4 linked regions of the Drosophila melanogaster genome follow. The protein of the gene in region 3 interacts with the protein of the main gene of each other region in a pairwise test. Each region holds a gene or a part of one and is shown on either strand. Other genes may lie near its edges. The genes, in order: lov, sov, toy and vimar.

Region 1 (4,751 bases), on a different chromosome or scaffold from region 3:
ACATACACACATTTGTTCAAACAAATACTTTTCTGAATATGCATGAGAAACCCTATAAAATGAACTGGTGAATGTATTAAGGTGTATGAAGTAAATTTTACCCCCTTTGAACTCTACCCAGAAATTTTTGAGAAAGTTGTCAGCCAGGTTTTTGTGTTAAACCAAGTAAAATGTATACATATATGAAAAGCGCGGTATAATAGAAATGAAATGTGGTCTGCCTTGCTTTATTGGATAGTACTCTCCTGTATTAATCGCAATGTATCACTCATTGGTTTCTTTTATTTCTGTTATGCCACACTTCCTGTGGGCTGAGTATAAAATGATTCCAATTTTAGATTAGTTAAATTAAAAAATAACAAAAAGTCCTTGCCCTCATCCCATCAAAGCCATCATAGCAGCATTGATAGACATGTCAATGTGGCATATTTGGCTTGCATGGCTCTGGTTACTTAATTTAAAAGACACCCAACGATTATTGGTTTGAAATTGCTTAGAACACGCAAGTACGGTTTTTCCTTGTTTTCTTTTTTTTTTTTTTTGCAAAAGTTTTATGTATTTTTACGGTTGAGTAAGTAAGTAGGCGTTGATCCAGAAAATTCGATTTTCGTCGGATCAAGGCAGCCTGCTACAACATAATATAAAAATATTAAGACGGCGTTGGTCGCTTGTACATAACTATCCAAAATAACTATATTCACAAAGTCAACCGTCCACCAACTAGCACCATTTTGGTTTCATATGTCTTGATGTAGCCTGAACCAAAGGTTCAAAAACGCACCCATGCTCACTTACGCGCAATTTTAAGCTACTTGTTTGGGGCGTAGAAGATTCTGATGCAGGAGCTATCATGATGCGATTCGCAAGGCGTTTATAGTGCCAAGACGGTATTGCATTTCAATATGTTTGCGTGTTTCTTTAATGCCTTGTTTGGTTTCACATCTCGTATCCCATTCATTTTACCGCGGTAGTCCTCGTACCTTCTCACGTGTACATGAAAAGCTTTTTTGTGCGCAACAAGTTTCTAAACAAAATTCTGAATTGATAAATGATATTGCAAACAGTTTCGGACTCGATTTACATTGAGTCGAGGCCGTTCGTCATTAATTATTTTTGTGTAAGTCCTTGAGGGCAAGCAACGAAAAGTTAAGGTTTTTGACATTGCATTGCAATATGCTCTTTTGTTCATGCTAACAGAAAAACTGTGGTTTCTGGCTTAACATCTTACAAGTCTGAGATAAACGTCATAACGTCTCATATTATCACCCATATATAGTATCAAAAATCTTCACATAAAACGTAGCCAAGACAAGCGATCTTGGAAAGAACCCGAAAACTTCCACAAGTTGCCTCTCGAAGAGGGCTCATAATAGATTATTGGTACGTGCTGCGAGACAGGTTTCAAGGATGTAGGATAGGACAGGCAGCACACGAGACTCATTAATCCTGTTGGCAAACGGGTGCCCGGGTGGCCTTCGGCTTCCTTGCCACGACTCATTTGTGCTGAAAACTTTCTGTTTGATAAATTGCCCATAATACAAGCACACATTCTCGCTTCTCTTACAACTTTGTGTGGGGCCAATCCCAAACCATGTATAGTCATGCCAGAAGCTGCAAAAGGGCTGGTAGCTGTTTTGGCCTGAACTTTTTCGATAGATAAACACTTAACACGTTTTTGCCAGTAATCTAAATACTCCCCTTTTGGCGAACATATATTTACTTACCATTCAATCATATTTGTGTGGTGGCGAGGAGAGCACTTTAGCAACGGGTTTTCTGCAGCCCTTTGGCGTTTTAATATGCAAATACTTGGGCGTCGGTATTCTCTTATTTTTCTCAATTGACGTGTTTTTTCTTTGCAGTGCCATGTCTGTACACAATCTGATACCGTCACGTTATGTCAAACTTATGGCTGATTTGATTTGTGCGATTGTCACGTTTTTGTTTTGATTATTTAATGCCATGAAAGACAACTTAAAGTCACGGTAGAAAGTTTGGTCTATAAATAATTTGAATTTTATATTAAAGAAAATATATAGACCTTTAAACTCAAAGGCATCAAGTAGTAATTATTTGTCTGCATATTCCGGATCGCTATCACTAGTAAGGCTCTGATTAATGCTTATGTTATTGAGAAATCTGTCGTCAGCCGATTCCGAGTCCCCTGTTACTGAGCTTGATAAGGACGGTGATGTCCTACCAGAATTTTGACCTGAACTAAGTGCTGAAGGCTCTGCGTAATTTTCTCCAGCATCAAAATCCTCTTTATTATTGCCGACCCAACATTTTTCGCACTGATCTCCGTCGTCCGATTCACTCATGTCTTCCTCTTCGAAATCACCATAAGAGGATTCAGATTTAAGGAGCGTGTCCCCAGGTGGCAAACTTACACTACCTTGATGTTCATCTGATCGACATGCCTGCGCTTCCCATTTAGAAATGCACTCTTAGTTTCTTTATGTTTGTACTTACCGTATCCAGATTTCGACTTCTACACACGATTTGAGCGTCATGCAGCTCCTTCATCAAGGCATTTCTTTCCAATGAGTGATACTCGCGTTGAAGATGACACTCGGATTGCAGCTCTCGGTTTTGTTTGCGTAAGGAAAACATTTCGCTCAAAATTTGATGCTGCTTCTCAACTATAGTAGTCACCAACTGCTCAAGGTTCTCAATTGTAACTTCGTATTCGCGTAATTTCTTTTTAAGGAGCCAGTTCTCTACACGGCAGTCGGATAGACTTGAGGCCGACAATCTAATCTCAGCAGCATTATGCCCCAATGATTCTTTATTCACCCTAAGAGAAGTCCAGTGGTAACAAAAGATAAGATAATTAAATTATCACTTACTCGTTGAAAGCGCTCATGTCGTCACTTGCAGGCAAAGGAAACGCTACTAGGTCTCTGGTGGCAATGTCCCCGAGATCATGGTATTGGCAAATACAGGACATTATTCGATAAATTTGAAAGTATTCTAAAGCATTAATTGCACCAGACTTTTAATACAAAGCTAACTAATTTCTCGAGTAGAGCGTAAAAATGGGTTAGTTCTAATATTACAAAACGCTGTGTTTCTCTGTAAATCAACTTTGCGACAATAATAACCGATTGTCCTCCTGTTTTAAATGTTGATACTCCTCTCAAAGCTGACTTAAACTGCCCGAACAGATATGGGTGTCAGGGCATTTCACTTTACAGACTGCACCCATCTACCGCTCGCTGCGTCCCCTCAGCCAGTGGACACTTTACGACTTGACATTTTCACACTTTGTTGGCAACGTTTTGGAAGCTTCCTACACTTTCCTCCCTGTGGGGCACAGCAACTGACTTTTGGGTCGTCCTTGTTACAGCGTCAAAGCCAGCGTCGATGCAAGCTCCATGAATCCGCTTGGGATCCGAGAAGTGCAAGTGTGTGGCTTCAGCTGAATAGGAACTGTATAGGTATGAGACACTCCTTTTTTGTGTGCGTCGGTGGATTGAAGTGCAAAATTGGTTTAAGTGTTTGCTAAATTGGCAGCAAAATGGCTTTTTCAATTTATCCTCAACGTTTGTGTGCATACTCGGAAAAGGCAAACGCTGTACAAAAAGTTAAGCAAGATAAACTAAGCATTTTTTACCACATTTTTTTGGCAACTGGTTTTATATAGCTATGTTGTTGATATTTCTCCGTTTGTTAACTTTTGCAGTGCTTTGCGAAGTCACCAAAACGCACCCATAAGTGAACTCTCATCCGGATACGAGCACGCATTACTCGCCTAGGTCATTTCACACTCTTACTATTGACGCTAAACGTTTTCAAATAACTGTATTTTTTGTGCACACATATCTTAAAGTAGAGATAATCATGGCTTGCACCGAAGCCACTATTGCAAAGCACATATACGATTGCTCGTATTTTACTACAATTAAAGTCGTATCGTAATCGTGATACCTCAACAATGCCAAATTACTACGCAGGCCATGTTAACATAAATATCTTGTGCCTCCTCTATTTAAGAGTATCTTGAGACTCAGCCCGCCCTTGAGGGATGGCCAATCTATAATCGCTCAACCTTAAACTTAAACTAGAGAACGCATGCAAGCGTTTATTTAAAAAGGCATAAGTCATACGTGGCTAATAAATTGATTTACTAGAGTGGATTAGAGTTCATTGCTATGACATATACAGGATGTTCTAGCTGTACTGCTGAGCAGTGATCTTCGTTGTTGCTGTCTTTAGGGATAGTGAGCTGGCCCTCGTTGGAGGCCCCTGTTAGTGCAGCACAAAGCGAACTTTTCATAAGTTTAACTATGTGAGCATTTAGGGGAAAAGTGTTCTGCCCTCGGTAAGAGCAATGAATTGTAGACCCAAAACGCTTGGCGGACTCCTTCCAGGCTCAATCGCACTTCGTACTTCGAGACTTTGGCTATGAAAAAAAACTTTTAAAATGCCAGTTTGAAGTCTATTATTTGCTGGACACGAGCATATATTGATTGCATCGCAGTCGCCTCGGTCAGCCACAAGATGCAAGAAAGCAAATTGCTTCAACAAATACTCGTACTCCCGAAAGGGGCTTGAGATGTGGAGGGTGATTTTGATGGGGTGGGGTGGGTTGCGGTGTAGGAAATCACATGGTAATCGGTGGACTACGAAACTGAAACCAGAAATAAAAATGCAATCGAAGCCAAGTTTCGTAAAGAGGTCTTTCAAACCGGTTTTCAGGCGCAAAGTGCAGATCCCCCTGTGACGGTTTGCAGAAAGTCTTCGGTTTC
Region 2 (4,791 bases), on a different chromosome or scaffold from region 3:
ACTAAACAATCTTTCGACGTTGCGATCGATAGCGTAAATAAAACAGCAAACATGAGACATAAGCACATTCCATACATACGCCGTCCACAAATCCCGTACCTACAGAACGAAGCAGATAGCACAATAATAATATAAACGGGAAGCGTCTACCTAGTTTTCTACGAAACGATGACCACACGCACACACACACACATTTAAACTTTCAGCGACTCGACTCTTGCGCATATCTAAAAGCCCAAGGAAGCCAAGAATTCTAAATCGACGTGGCAGTACGCGCTGATCGAGAGTACAGAACAGACCGCCTAGAAGAGCAACACTGAAACCATCCAACCCTATTATTGTTGATCATTAATCATATTTAACCCGCATTATCACAATATATCTGTATGGGATAATGGGATAATTAAACTTATGTACCGTTTCAGTTTGAACTCTTCCAACACACAAAACATATTTAGTAGGCGCCACTTCACAGTATTACGAACAATACTTCTAACACGACTCATGGTCTGGTTCGTCGATCGGCGAATACCAAACACTGTGTGCCATTTAAGTCTTGATACACCAGCTGATATAAACCAAGCCAATCGCGATCCTTATTATGACCTTGATTTTTAATATAAATCAATAGGGTTGGAGCACAGGAAGGTCTAGTACATAATCTGAAAATGTGTTCGCAACGACGGAAGCATGTTGTTCTTATCCTTGATAACTATTACTGTAGCACTATCATCATTTCTTTCATTTGAGGAATAAAATATCCATGTTTACTTTTGTGGTTTCATTGTAGTAGGTAGAGTACAAGGTCAAAGTACTCAGTCCACGCAAAACCAACAACAAATGGTAACCCTCGAGTAGCGATGGGATTTTTTCAGCAAAACGACTACATTCCTTTACGAATGAACCAATCGGTGTTCTTGTGGATAGAATACGGAACTTAGCTTGATTCTTTTATCTATCAGCTATCAAAGTCCATTTGCTATGCTTAAAACGTATAAGCATTTACTTTAAGCTTGATTTAAATAAGTATTTTATGCACATAGTGAGTAATCACTGCATTTATTTGTGCATTTACAGATATTATTAAAAAAAAAAGGTCAGAAGTGCCTTTCATTTTCCAAATCTGATACTCTCAAGTAGTTTTCTTTTTCCTAAAAATAAAGTATGTGGCAAGGTATCCATATTTTGTGACAAAGTAACTCTCGTTGCCTTTTACAAGTTCTAAAAATTATACAGATCATCCTTGCTATTCTATTTCTTTATTATATCCGTTACTTGAAGAGTAAAAGGGTACTAGATTCGTTGAAAAGTATGTAACAGGCAGATTGAAGCCTTTCCGACTATATAAAATATATATATTCTTAATCAGGATTAATAGCTGAGGTGATCTGGCCATTTCCGTATGTTCGTATGAACGTCGACATCTTAGAAACTATAAAAGCTAGTAGGTTGAGATTCAACATACAGATTCCAGAGACATGGACGGAGCGCAAGTTTGTTGACCCATGTTGCCACGTCCACTCTAACGCCCACAAACCGCAAAAAATTGCCCACGCTTTTGAACCTTTTTTTCGAAATTTGTTCATAATTTTATTAGACTTGTAAATTTCTATCGGTTTGGCAAACAACTTTTGGCCACGCCCACTCTAACGCCATAAAGCCGCCAATACGGTCACTTTGGGAAAATTTTTTCTCATTTTATTCCCCAATATCTTTCGATATCCCAGAAAAATGATGAAATTTCGCGTTCGCATTCACACTAGCTGAGTAACGGGTATCTGATAGTCGGGGATTTGACTACAGAATTCTCTCCTCCAACGATTTAGAAAAAGTGGGTCACTTTGTATTTTGGACTTTTGAAACATCGGTTTTTGGCGACACAAATGTAGCATTCAGCCTTTAGTGCGCTAGTGCGCACTACCAAACACACTATAATAACTATCACTGTATGCGTAGAAAAGAGCTGTTTGCTGTAGCGCTCTCCGCTCTCTCGCTCTCGAACAAAAAATCGAGAGAGCCTGGAGCCACCTCTAGAGCCATGGCGAAAAAATAGTGTGCCAAAAAATCGTATAGCGTTACGCATCTTGTCTTTGGCACTACCTTGACCGTTGGTATCGAATCATTGTGTCGCGTTTTCGTCATTAGAATGTGTTTCCTATCTCAGCTTTTTAGGTCGTTCATACGGACAGAAAAACGGACATAATAGTCATGGTTAAAATCCTATGTACTACATAAGGTCAGAAGAGTTTCCTTCCACCACAGTACTTAAAAAAAAAAGTTAGTAACGTTAGTAATGTGTGTATAAACATTTAAAGAAACGAAGTTATCATTACGCGATTAACTTAAATCCACTTTTCATAGTAGAGCTCGCAATACGCCATTATTGATTGTAAACGTCCTTTCCGCTCTCGTCCGAGAAATGATTTATGGAAGAATGTTTATATAAACGGCGGTTGGATTCTTCACACGATAAGTTCTGCGGAACACTTATGCAGACACACACACACAAACACAGTCGCAAAAGCTCGTCCACATAAGACGCAAACTCAAACGAACACAAAGACAAACAAGAGCACGACTTTTTTGCTGGCCTCTACAATTCGTTTTTGTTTTCGTCGTTGATGCACATTCCCGTTATTACAACTACCACTTGATTAGTAATATTCAACTGTACTCACTTTAGATTACTTTCCTCCGTTATTTCTGGAGTTTTGTGCGATGCTCAGCAATTTGGCCTTGTCTGCGGAGGTGTCGAAATACGAGCCGATCCGAACACTTCCAAAGTTGACGCCGAAGTGAGGGAACTATGCCCGTGTCTCACAATGCGCAATTGCCGGCGAATACGATAGACACGAATAGCAGAGCAAAATGCTCACTCTGCCAAGGCTACGTGTCTGCAATTCGCCGCGATGATTTTCGTCGTAAGTGAAAGTTGGGAAAAACTAGGGTTTTTCGTTTCGGGGAGAAAATTTTTCTTATTTTTTTGTAGATGTTACTCGAAGGAGCTGGCCATAAGGCATAGAAATGAAAGAAATTAAGCCACGTACTTTGATGTTGTTGTCATACATGCAACTATTTTATTAAGTTAGTTATCGATAGCTATCGATGGTTATGGACAAACAAAACTTTTTGGCTTAGATGCAACATGGTCATACTGAAGGAAACTGGTACGTTGCACTATGGGTAAAAAGCCGGAAATTTTGGTATTAATTACAATTTTAAAGATAGCATCTTGATTTTTTTTATATTTATAATTAGGATTTAAATAGAATTTCGGTTTAGAGTGAAAGTGAAAAATTTATTTATATACAAATGAAAGCTGTTTTAAAGGGAGATGGATGGGTGGCGAAGGATATGTGGGTGTTAATATGTCTGTGGTTCAACCGGTGGATCCGGAGGTGTCTTACCTGGGAGATTGGCGTGGCATATAAGGTTCGTATTTAACTGCTATTATTTGGTTTTTGGCAGTGTAGGAATATGGTCTAAGGTTTTTTATAGCCGCATCCAAATTTTGTTTTCCTTCAATATAAGGGCAGCACTATCCTTTGTTCAACTTTTTCTGCCAATTTCACAATTCAAAGCACCTCTGATTTAGCTGAAAGTGTCGCGAGTGTCGAACTCAATTTATGTTAACAAAACAGCACTTTATTAAAGTTGTACACTTGTAATCGCCTGGCGAATTAAGTACACAGTTATCGCGCTAAAAATACAGTGTTGCGGGAATCTCGGGGATCCATCGCTTAGGCCTATGATTGCTGGGTGCAAGGACACCTGCTCCGGATTCGGGCATATTTGTTAAGAACTGATATCTGATGTAAAGCAGATATCGAATTATCAGTTAGCCGAATTTGAAGCAGGTATCTTAACAACCTAACATAAAAATTGCATAATATTAATTAATAAAAAAAAAAAAACACTCCGGAGCTTAAGCTAATCTATAGTCTACTGCTCTCCGCGCCATTTTGTCGTGGCGGAGAAATCTGGGACTTGTCGTATCCATTGCTGGACATCTGCAGATGCTGCGGAAGTTGGGCAGGACGTCCGTTGGAGGGCAAGGTCTCGTCCACGGAGAACACGGAGTTGTCGTGTCCGTGCATGTGGCGAGCATTGAGCACGGCATCCGGATGGCTCTTCGGCGACTCCGGCTGTCCCACCTCATCAGGCTTGCCTTCCAGCAGGAAACAGGTGATGAAGAAGAGAATAGAACCTGTGACCAGAGGTGTTAGTAATATTGGTATCCAAAAGTGGCCAGATCAAGCCGACTTACTGATGCCGTAGAATCCAGCGTAGAAGATCATGATCGAACCGCGATAGCCCAGGATCTTGGCCACCGGATCCACCAGGATGGGCAGGTTGCCGCCAATGTTGTTCATCACAAACAGAAAGACGCCAATGGTCGAGGAGCGAACGCGCAGCGGAACAATCTCCACAACAATGGCAAAGACAATACCGAACCACATCTCGGCGAAGAAATAACTCAGGCCCAGCGTGATCATGGCCCACAGCGGGTCAAAGTAGACCGATCCGAAGGCTGGTAGTGTGGCAATTAGCTGGCTAACAGCCAATACAAAGGCGCGTGATCGAATGCCCATCTTGGCGACAATCTTGTCCGACACAATGCCACCGACGACCACACCCACGCTGCCAATGCCAATGGTGACCCCAAAGAGCCACCAGCCCAAGTCCACGTCGGGGAAGTACGTGTTGTAGTAGAGATCGGCGTTGTAGGCAAAGGTCATGCCACCGCAGTGACGGATGGACGCGGCAATCATCAACATGATCATTGCCGGA
Region 3 (4,698 bases):
TAACTGTATCATTAATCAGAGTTTTTAAGAGAACAGGAAAACAACTATAAATAGCTTAAAGCTATAAGGCTCTATTAGAAAATTCGTTTGAAACAATCTTCCAGCTTTAAACTTCTAAAATTTTTAACTTAAGACAGAAAGAGAGGTACAGACTGGTCCTAGATCCATCCTGATCATGAATATACATATATATTTTTAAGGATCGAAAACGCTTAAAATGGTATGTTAGAACTTTTATTAGTCAGATCAGAGTTTTTAAGAGAACAGGAAAACAACTATAAATAGCTTAAAGCTATAAGGCTCTATTAGAAAGTTAGTTTGAAACAATCTTTCAGCTTTAAACTTCTAAAATTTTTAACGTAAGACAGAAAGAGAGGTACGGACTGGTCCTAGATCCTGATCATGAATATACATATATATTTTTAAGGATCGAAAACGCTTAAAATGGTATGTTAGAACTTTTATTAGCACGTGCAGAAATATTATTATGTGCGCAAAATATAACTTACACTTGGAATGTTATCACTATTGCAAACTTGTTCCGATAGCAGTCGATCTCGTATTTCCCACGCAAATATGCTGGGACATTCCCGTTTGTAATCTGCAATTTTTTGCACAACCGGGGTTGTAGCTACTCGTGGCTTTGAACCACCTATAGCTCGAGGTTTTATCGATCCAGTTTCATAATATCTAAAAAAAATAAACTTATTTACATTTTATCTGAGTAGTCATTAAAAGTAGATAATAGAATAAACAATGAATATACAATCAATTTAGATTTGGCTGTATATTTTCTTATTTTGCAAAGAACAGAGAATTTAAAAATACGTTCTTCTTAAGATATGATTTTGATTTTTATGTATTATGATCATAAATGGTGAATGTGTTTCAATAATCAGAGTCACACAATGAGAGATTGGGATGGGGGCCTGATTTCAAATTTTCATATTACGAAAATCATTGATTTTCTTACTCTAAAGTATTTATAATAGAACTGCTAATATCTGATTAGTTCCAATTATGTAACTTAGTAGTCGAAAGCCGTAAATATTCTCGGGAAGAGCAGTGCTTATAGTAAAGTAAAAAAGGACATTCCTCTAGTATTGATTGAAAAATCCTCTTTCCAAAATGTTAGATGAGCACAAAAAAACAATTCGGAGTGCAGTGCTTGTAAATGCGAGCTGCAACTTGTAAAAAGAAAAGCGCAGCGATTCATTAGTGGTGACAATGCTAAACGCCGTCGAAATGTTTAGCGTCGAGATAATAAAAACTATAAGCAAACCTCAGCGTCAACAGTCAACACTTTCAGTTGTAGACATTAAATTAGTTAAATGCAGCCGGTATATAAATATTTTGCGAATGGCATATAGGATTGAATATAGAATATATGCTAAACAAAATAACATAAGTATTAATTAGAAGCCAGGGGAGAAATGTATTTGTTAGTGTTGTACAATGGACAGCACTTGCAATACGGACACCAATAACGCCGTAAAGAGGTTCTTCCAACAAACAAATTTGGCTACTCGCAAAACAGATGCTAAGCAAGTTCTCTTTAATCATACGCAGTCTTACGATCATTGGTTAGTTGATACGAAATAGACTAGGAGGCATTCGGATCTTATGCATATAGAAACTACTGAAACGTTAGTAAGGCCATTAACTTACCAAAAACAGAGAGAATGCTATAGTCGAATTCCCCGACTATACGACTAAATACGAAAGCAAAATTGTGTTATTTTTCTGGGATCCGTTTTTTGCGTTTTGTTGGTGTAAGAAGGGGTGTGGCGAAAGTGTTTTTGGTATACCGATAGAAGACAAACAATAAAACGATTAAAAATCAACACTTTTTTTAAAAGTGTTGGCAATATGGGTCAACAAACTTGCGCTACGTCCATATCTCTACAATCAGTATGCCTAATTCCAACCATCTAGCTTTTATAGTTCCTGAGATCGAGACATTCATACGGACAGACGGAATATATACATACTTCATATGGTCGGGAACGCATCCTTCTTCCTGTTGCATACTTTTCAACAAATCTAATATACCTTTTGACTCTTTGAGTAACGGGTATAATAATCGAATCTTTCATATTTTCCAAATTTAATATCACTCCCTGGTTTAAACGCAGTGCTTATATAATAAAGTCCGAAGTCAGAAATTTTAGCTGAGCAGTTTGTTTGTTGGAGGCTACTTTCGTAGTTCCTGTTTAGTTAAGAAAATGTCATTATGCACTCGAAATGCCTCACCTGCCCAAAATTTTGCTTACGCAACCGTTGGACACTTGTAGTATTCTTGAAATATCACAAGGACGTGCGCCGGAATGAGCCAATTCGACAATTTTTTGACGCGTTGAATCGGGCAGTGGCCGGCCATTAACATATACGCCGCCCAGCTGATTTATTCCGCTATGGCCCGCCGTGGAGCACCCAAATAGAGTACTCTGCCCGACTGACGAGTGGGGATGCCCATGCATTATGTGTTCAGTTGTTAGCATCATAATTAATTATTTTTAATGCGGCGTTGGAGACTTCGACGGTGGCTGACGTGCGTATGTTTATTATTGAAAGTGAGAAAGTAGGATTACTCCCTTTTTCATTGTTGTTAGAAGGGGGGCTTCGTTGCCAACTTTGTACATCCCATATATATTATCTTCTTCACCTGGTAATCAAACTCCAGACTATCACTTCAGACGTTTTAACATTTATCACTTTTTACTTGCCAGGATATGAACTTTCACTTTATGAGTTTTGTTTTAAGTGTGCACGATGGAAAGCGTTAAAGTGTTTTAAAACTGTATCATAGATCGTTTATGAAAATGGTCCCGATATTTTCCGTCGAAAGTACGGGTCCGCAGCCCGGCGGCAGCGCCACGGATGGCGACCTAGTTTATTAATCTGGGAATAATTTGCATTCAAAATGATCGAATAGTGACGTAGGTATCGGTTTAAGCTTGAACAAAAATTTCTTTTGCTAACTGGTTTCAGTGACGAGGTGCGCACTTAGCCAAGCGAAACGTTAATGAGCTCTCATGCGAAAAAACACTGGCAAGAGCAACGGCTAACACATCGGCCAGCCATTTTGGCGGCGTTGCTCTAGTTGTCTCTTTTCATTTGCAGTCAGCGATAGCTAACAACGTTGCTGTTTTCCGTGCCGTGAAAAGAGATAGCTATAGAGACATGAGGAAGAGAGGCATTACAACAAAATCCATCGTGCGCACATCTGGCAAATAGGAGTTGCGTAGGAAAGAGACGGCTATGGAAGAAAGAAAAGTGTACCCTATCCGCTTGAAAATCTTTTTGAAGTTTTGGTTGGTTGTTAAATATATCGTGGGCAACTTTAACATTATGGATTCAGCGATAATAACGCTGGAAAATAAAACTGAATTTATATAAACATAGATGGTTGTGTATATGTGTAAGTCTTATTCATCATTGTATGCATATGTTTGGTTGTGATGATATTTTATCATGTTTAATGCACTTAATCCCTAAAATATTTGATTATATAACCATGTATCCAAAAGTTTAAGAATCTGATCATTCTGAATAACATACAATCTAATCGTTTGCCATACCTTTGTTTTAAAAAAGTATAGAACGACTAGTTATTTATTGCCCTGTATCAATTCCCCATCTTTACGTTAAGTATTATTATATTTCTGATGTCGGTTGTGTTAATATACAAAAATACATTCACATATAAAAACTATGAGTGCATTTTATTAGTTTTAATTTAAATTTAAAATTGAACAGCAATAAAAACGTATTCAGGAAGGTCAAACAGTATCAGGAGTTCAAAATGCCTTGCCTTACCTGTAGCGTGATCTGCGTGACTTGGGCTTGAGATGAAGTTTGTATTGTTAACTTTAAAGAGTATTTAGTATTTGTAAATTTTTTGTTGTATATCTATACAAAATATTAAATATGTAAATACATAAATTGTCTGTTCTGCTACTTCTGCTTGTATTTACATTTTCGATATCTATTATTTACAGAAATTAAACCCCCAAGTAACAGCATTCAAAACCTAAACCACCCCAAAAAGCCACCACTGAGCTTACTTGCTCTCAACATCCTGTCCGACACGTTTTTTGGATTTTTGAAGTCACACGCATCAACGAATCTATTTCCCCTTCCACCACAATTTCCATTATTGTAGTGCCGGCATCCAGTGTGCTGGGCTTCTTCAAAGGGGCATATTCTTGAATCGCCTTTTTGTCATTCCTATTGCGTGTGCCAAAAATTTCATGGCGCATTGTAAAGGTGACGAATCTGATTTTCCTGGAATGTGTGAAAATACCTTAATTTATATTATTTAGCGTAGTGTCTGGGCTGCAACAAATGCATATAACCATTAAATTTTGCACTCATGATATTTGATTTTTCTTGCGTACCTACTTACTAGTAGAGTCTCTATCGATATGCTAAACAATAATTTAGCCACGTCTACTCTAAAGCCTACATTTTGTTTGATGTTTTTTTAATTTCAATATCTTTATCAATGTGTAAAATAGAATGTCAGAAGGAAGCGCCTACATAAAGTATCTGTATTCTTGGTCAGGGCCACTAGCCGAGTCGATCTAGCCCTATCCGTCCGTATTAACGTCGAAATCTCAGGAAATATATAAGCTAACAGGTTGAGATTAGGCATATAGATTAGAGACATAGACGCGGCTCAAGTTTGTTGACCCA
Region 4 (4,809 bases), on a different chromosome or scaffold from region 3:
CGCCTGCAGGATTCCCATTGTGAAGTCGTCGTCCTCCAGTTCTTGGTTACTTTCTTCTCCTTCCCAGCAGCGTGAGAAGACAAAAAAGGATTCGTTTTTCTCTGTTCGTTTGCAAATTTTAAATTTTGGTTTGTTGTTCTGGGACAATCCACCGAGTTGGTGAATTTAACAAAGTGCTTTTGTATGTATATTAGAGGTAGCCGAAATAGTTTCGAACTAAGTTGACTGTATATGTATATGTAGCTGCAAACTTAAATACAAATTGACTTTCGCCAGTCAACATTTTGTATGTCAACACAATGAACACTTGAGAAAAGACAACTTGAATCCGTTTTTTACATACCAGCCAGCTTATTGAACATTTAAATCATGCAGTACTCGTGTAAATACCAACGAATTTACCAACTTAAAAGTTGACACAAGTTGTACAAGTTGCTTAGTTTAGAGCGGAAAAAACTAAAAGTTTGCACACAAGTTGCACACTTGAAGCACACAAGTTAGAACGTTCTGTCGATGGGGGATTCCCCAAAATGCCAACCCTCTTTTGGCCCCGTAAAGTATGCTCCACAACTTGTCAAGGGGACACACATAGCCTCCTCGAAAAGACTCGAAAGTTAATTGAAATTAATTTCTATGCCAATTTGAATAGGGCACGAACTCAATTAAAACAGAGCTAGCCACCAACCACCCCACAATTTCATCTTTTCAAGGCGGCCTGCTCGCCCCATTCATTCTCAAGGCCATTAGAAGGGCCAAAATCTTATTAGCAGTTAAAAGAATAAAGCGAGTGGAAGGCGCTAGGCACGGGGAAATCACAAGTCACCCAGCTAGATTTGAAGCAAATGAAGCAACGACGCCGGAATACGCAAGAAGGAGGTGGAAAAGGACAATAAATTCGAAGCCGGGCAAACTACAATAACAGCCAGCTAATCTGGGTAAGCTGCGTGGAACGAATGGAAAAGCCCAAAATAATAACAATAACAATAAAGAGGCAGCAGCTCCGGAATCTAGAATCTGGAATCTGGCGAGGGGAGCGGCCTGCTTTGGCAGCTGATATCCTCTTCCTTATCAGACTCCCAGCCTCGGGGTTGATGGTAGCCACAGCCTCAAGGACAGCAGTCAAATTGCGTCGAAGACGCCGAGCGAAAGCGTCGACAAATGCAGTCACAAAGGACCAATTAAAGTCCAAAGTGACTGAGCCGCAGGGAGGACGTGGCAAGCATCTCGCAGCTGGGATCTGCACAGCGAGTAAATCATGCCGCAACGGTCCAATGGCCTGCATCCTTGAATTTTATAGATGTCCTTTCATTAGATTTCAAAACAATCTATAGTAATGTCGAATAGTATTTCAATGTACTATACTTCAGGTATAAAACTTATGTAACACTTAATGAATGCTCCGAATGACAGGTCTTGAAAATCATATATTCAGCGCAAGTTTCCCAGTGCTTGCATATGAATTAAAATGAACAAGAACCACGAATTGTTTTCAGTGTGGAAATGGGTCTCGCTACGCTGGGCGCAGCTGGTGGGTTCTGTAGACAAGTGAGGTGTACAGTGGTGTGGGGATTGGGATGCAGCACCCCTCCTGAAAAAGGGGAAGTTTCGAGGCCGGGATTGCCGGCGCGTTCAAGTGCTGTTTGTTGTCGTTCTGCACAGGTTCCCCTCGGGAAAGGGTATACAAACAGTACAGTCTGTGGCCAGTGTTTATGTATGTGTTGATTCGGTGCAGTCACGTTTGAAAACTAAGAAGTTTAGAGACTTGTTTACGTTTAACAATTCTCATCGGTGACTGACCCAAATATAACACATCCAGTGCGTACGTTACACATCCAACTACACTGAGAAACACAAGAAAAAAAGGGGTTTCTTTTAGTTAGTCACAGCTTTATCTTGACAATGACTGCGCTTTGACTGCAAAGTAGTATCGAATTTTAAGCCCTTTTAAGCTTAATCTGTGAAGATTGTCCTAATTGTAATGTTTATCAACAATTCAACAAAGTTGCCATAGATTTCTCACTGTGCATGACTTCATCGTTTTGTTTGCTATATCACCCCCCGTGGGGATAAAACGAATTGTGAGGACTGCGGGGAGTGTTGCGACACGCCGGTAAACCTGGCACCTCGCAGGAGGCATATTCTCATTTATTAATGCGTCGTCACTGCTGTTCCCAGTTCCCATTCCTATTCCTCCTGTGCTGCGGTGGAGTGGGCGGCTCGGGTGGCGGGTTCGTGCAAAACGGTGGTGGCCGCTGTCTCAGCCGCACTTAATTCCCGCCAGAACTGCCGGGGCCATTAAAGGATAAAAGAGCGGGATTTCTGATTGGGAAGCGCTGACCCTGTTGGCCGCGATAAGTGGGTGCGCACAGCAGCAGGAGCACGGCATCTGCCTAATCCGACCGGCCCACTGTGCAGTGGGATGGGGAGTGGGGAGCATAAGTATTGATTTTTCTCACATGTCCCCGGCAAACACACACATCTTGTCTAGGGAGCCGCATCGCCCGCCCCCACCCCACTGCCCCTGCTCGGAGCAACTTCCTCCGACACCTGGCAGCGATTTGGAAGTTTTCGCAGCTCGTAAATGCTGCACTGCAGCCATAAAACGGCCGCTGCAATGACTCGCATGAATTGCGTTTGTTTATGCTATGGAAAAGGAATCCGGGGTCTGCTGTATGTCGTTTGGGATGCTCCATAGGCAGAGAAATGCTCGATGTTACTCACTCGCCATGTTTGCCGCCTTTGTTGATTATTCCGCTGCTGCTTCTTCCGTTTTTATGCTTTTCTGCTTTTCTTGCTCTGCGTTGGTTGCGATTCCAGGCACGTTGTATCACTGTTAGCTTGTAACAAACACTGCTGATAGGCTAATGACTGCTGCGCGCAACTGAACACATTTCACGGCTTTCTTTCAGTCGCGTCTCCGTTCAACTTCCGCAATATCCGTATAATTCGTATTATCCGTGTAATCCGTATTTTCCGAATCGCGTTCAGACGTTCACACCAACAACTGCAATTCTAGTGTGACCGCAGAGCTCGAGCTGCACGATACCTCCAATGAGAGATGCCATATCGATGCTTACGCATTTTATTAACATCGATAGACATTTCTAGAATGTCTAGACTTTAATGCTTGGATTTTCCAAAAACTATAATCTGTTTCCAAAAAGTTATCGATAAGTATCGATCAGTGTTGAAACTATTTGTATTTTATATTAAATTCTGGGGTGTGACTAGTAATATTAGGAATATAAGCTTTAAAGAAAAAATCGAATTCTTTATAAGTGATTTAGTTCGAACGTTAACTTAAGATTTGCCACCACAATCGGAAAGTAGCTATTTTCTAGCTAGCTTTGCCCATTAATCGATTGGTGGCAACACTGGTCGGCACATCCCACTCACTCAACAAATTGTTTACCACAAAAAACCGTGCTGAAAGTGAACGAAAATAAAGTGCAGCCCGGCGTCGAGCATTTGCAGTGATCCCAAGACGCCCAACCATTGATTCCCGTAGCGGTGTCCACCCGGATTCCAGCCCACCGCCACCAGCACGCCATTCCATTTGGGGAGCCTCTCGGTCGGTTCGGTCAAACAGTCGCGATTGCCCGGTCGTCCACGAACGCTTATAAAATTGGCAAGATAACTAAGCAGAGCACAAAGATGCCGCCAGCATCAGCGGTAAACAACAGCAACGCGGCCGCCCAGGCGGCGAAGGCCGAGCGGGCGGAGAAGCTGCGCGGGGCACTGAAGGGCTTCATCGTGGCGGACCGCCAGCGGCGCCAGGAGGAGTTCGAGGCTCAGTGCGAGGAGCAGCGGCTGCGACGGGAGCGCGAGGAGGTGGAGCGCCAGAACCAGGTGGCCCTGGATGACACACGCGGCCAGATAACCCGACTGGACGAGCAGCTGGCCGATCTGCACAGCCAGAAGCATCAGCTGACCGTCCAACTCAAGAAGGTGCTCAACGAGGACGAAACGCGCAAGAAGCTGGCCAAGGAGAACGAACTGTTCGCCATCCAGCAGGCGGCGGCCAGTAGCCCGGTCTTCCTGCCGCCCCTGCGCCTCCAACACCAGCACCATACGCTGATGCAGAAGGTCTCGACTGCGCAATTGTGGGATTCAGGTTCTAATGGTCCTCTTTTTTCCTCGCAGCTCCCGTCCGGCGGACAGCCAGGAAAACGTGGCAGGAGTCCATCGCCGCCGAGTCAGCAGCAGGCTTACTACAAGAGCGCCGCCAGCTACGCCCAGCAGAGTAAGCCAGGAAGAGGTCGACAATGTGGTCCCTGGGCCTCCGATACAGTGAACGCTGCCTCAGGCAGGCAGTCCAAAGTCTCATGCACGCAATTTCGGTTGGATTTTGTTAACTCGAATGCGGGATCTGCTCATAATTTGATTAGTCATTGAATTGGTTAGCACATATGTATGGTTCTTGATTTGGACGAGAGATATACGTGATTTTTGTGATGTCATCATCTCTACATTCTGATTGCCAAGCCCTTTTTTAAGCTCTATGAAATATTAGCACTAATATCAATTGAACTTCTAATTAGGAATGATTGCAAAAACATGGTTAAGTGTTAAGTAAATAATCAATTCGATATAAAGAAAGTTTCGTGCTGTTTAGGCTTTGTATTGGATGGTTTAGTTTAATGTGTTTTAATGTGCACAAAAATTACCCTATTATTTTGAAGGATATATAGTGTAGAAACGATATATATAGGGTTTCTAGCAGATAGCTCGAGTTTTAAAATTCAACTGCAAATTGGCATTGGCTAAAGGTGCGATACAATCACCGATTGATCTGTTCTGCGGAGCTTT

The links.
Region 1: the proteins of toy (region 3) and lov interact in a two-hybrid assay, tested with the Drosophila melanogaster proteins (one large-scale study listed by BioGRID).
Region 2: the proteins of toy (region 3) and sov interact in a two-hybrid assay, tested with the Drosophila melanogaster proteins (one large-scale study listed by BioGRID).
Region 4: the proteins of toy (region 3) and vimar interact in a two-hybrid assay, tested with the Drosophila melanogaster proteins (one large-scale study listed by BioGRID).

Annotation. Positions count from the first base shown.
Region 1 is NT_033778.4:25,136,592-25,141,342, forward strand, and holds the start of lov (jim lovell), read right to left. Parts: upstream 3,037-4,751; 5' UTR 2,951-3,036; coding exon of another isoform or gene 2,850-2,950; intron 2,798-2,849; coding exon of another isoform or gene 2,473-2,797; intron 2,421-2,472; coding exon of another isoform or gene 2,070-2,420; exon of another isoform or gene 2,036-2,069; intron 1-2,035. Other genes in the region: CG43106 (uncharacterized protein), read right to left, coding at 2,070-2,420, 2,473-2,797, 2,850-2,950. UniProt on the Drosophila melanogaster protein: Has a regulatory role during midline cell development.
Region 2 is NC_004354.4:6,754,588-6,759,378, reverse strand, and holds the start of sov (small ovary), read right to left. Parts: upstream 3,058-4,791; 5' UTR 2,679-3,057; intron 770-2,678; exon of another isoform or gene 1-769. Other genes in the region: CG14439 (uncharacterized protein), read right to left, coding at 3,936-4,207, 4,268-4,791.
Region 3 is NC_004353.4:988,058-992,755, reverse strand, and holds the start of toy (twin of eyeless), read right to left. Parts: upstream 3,032-4,698; 5' UTR 2,505-3,031; coding exon 2,254-2,504; intron 691-2,253; coding exon 510-690; intron 1-509.
Region 4 is NT_033778.4:6,982,691-6,987,499, forward strand, and holds the start of vimar (visceral mesodermal armadillo-repeats), read right to left. Parts: upstream 3,023-4,809; 5' UTR 2,729-3,022; coding exon 2,722-2,728; intron 297-2,721; exon of another isoform or gene 19-296; coding exon of another isoform or gene 1-18. Other genes in the region: CG30156 (uncharacterized protein), read right to left, coding at 1-18; CG17002 (uncharacterized protein), read left to right, coding at 3,655-4,086, 4,144-4,243. UniProt on the Drosophila melanogaster protein: Probably acts as a GEF (guanine nucleotide exchange factor) for the Rho family of small GTP-binding proteins (G proteins) that stimulates the dissociation of GDP to enable subsequent binding of GTP.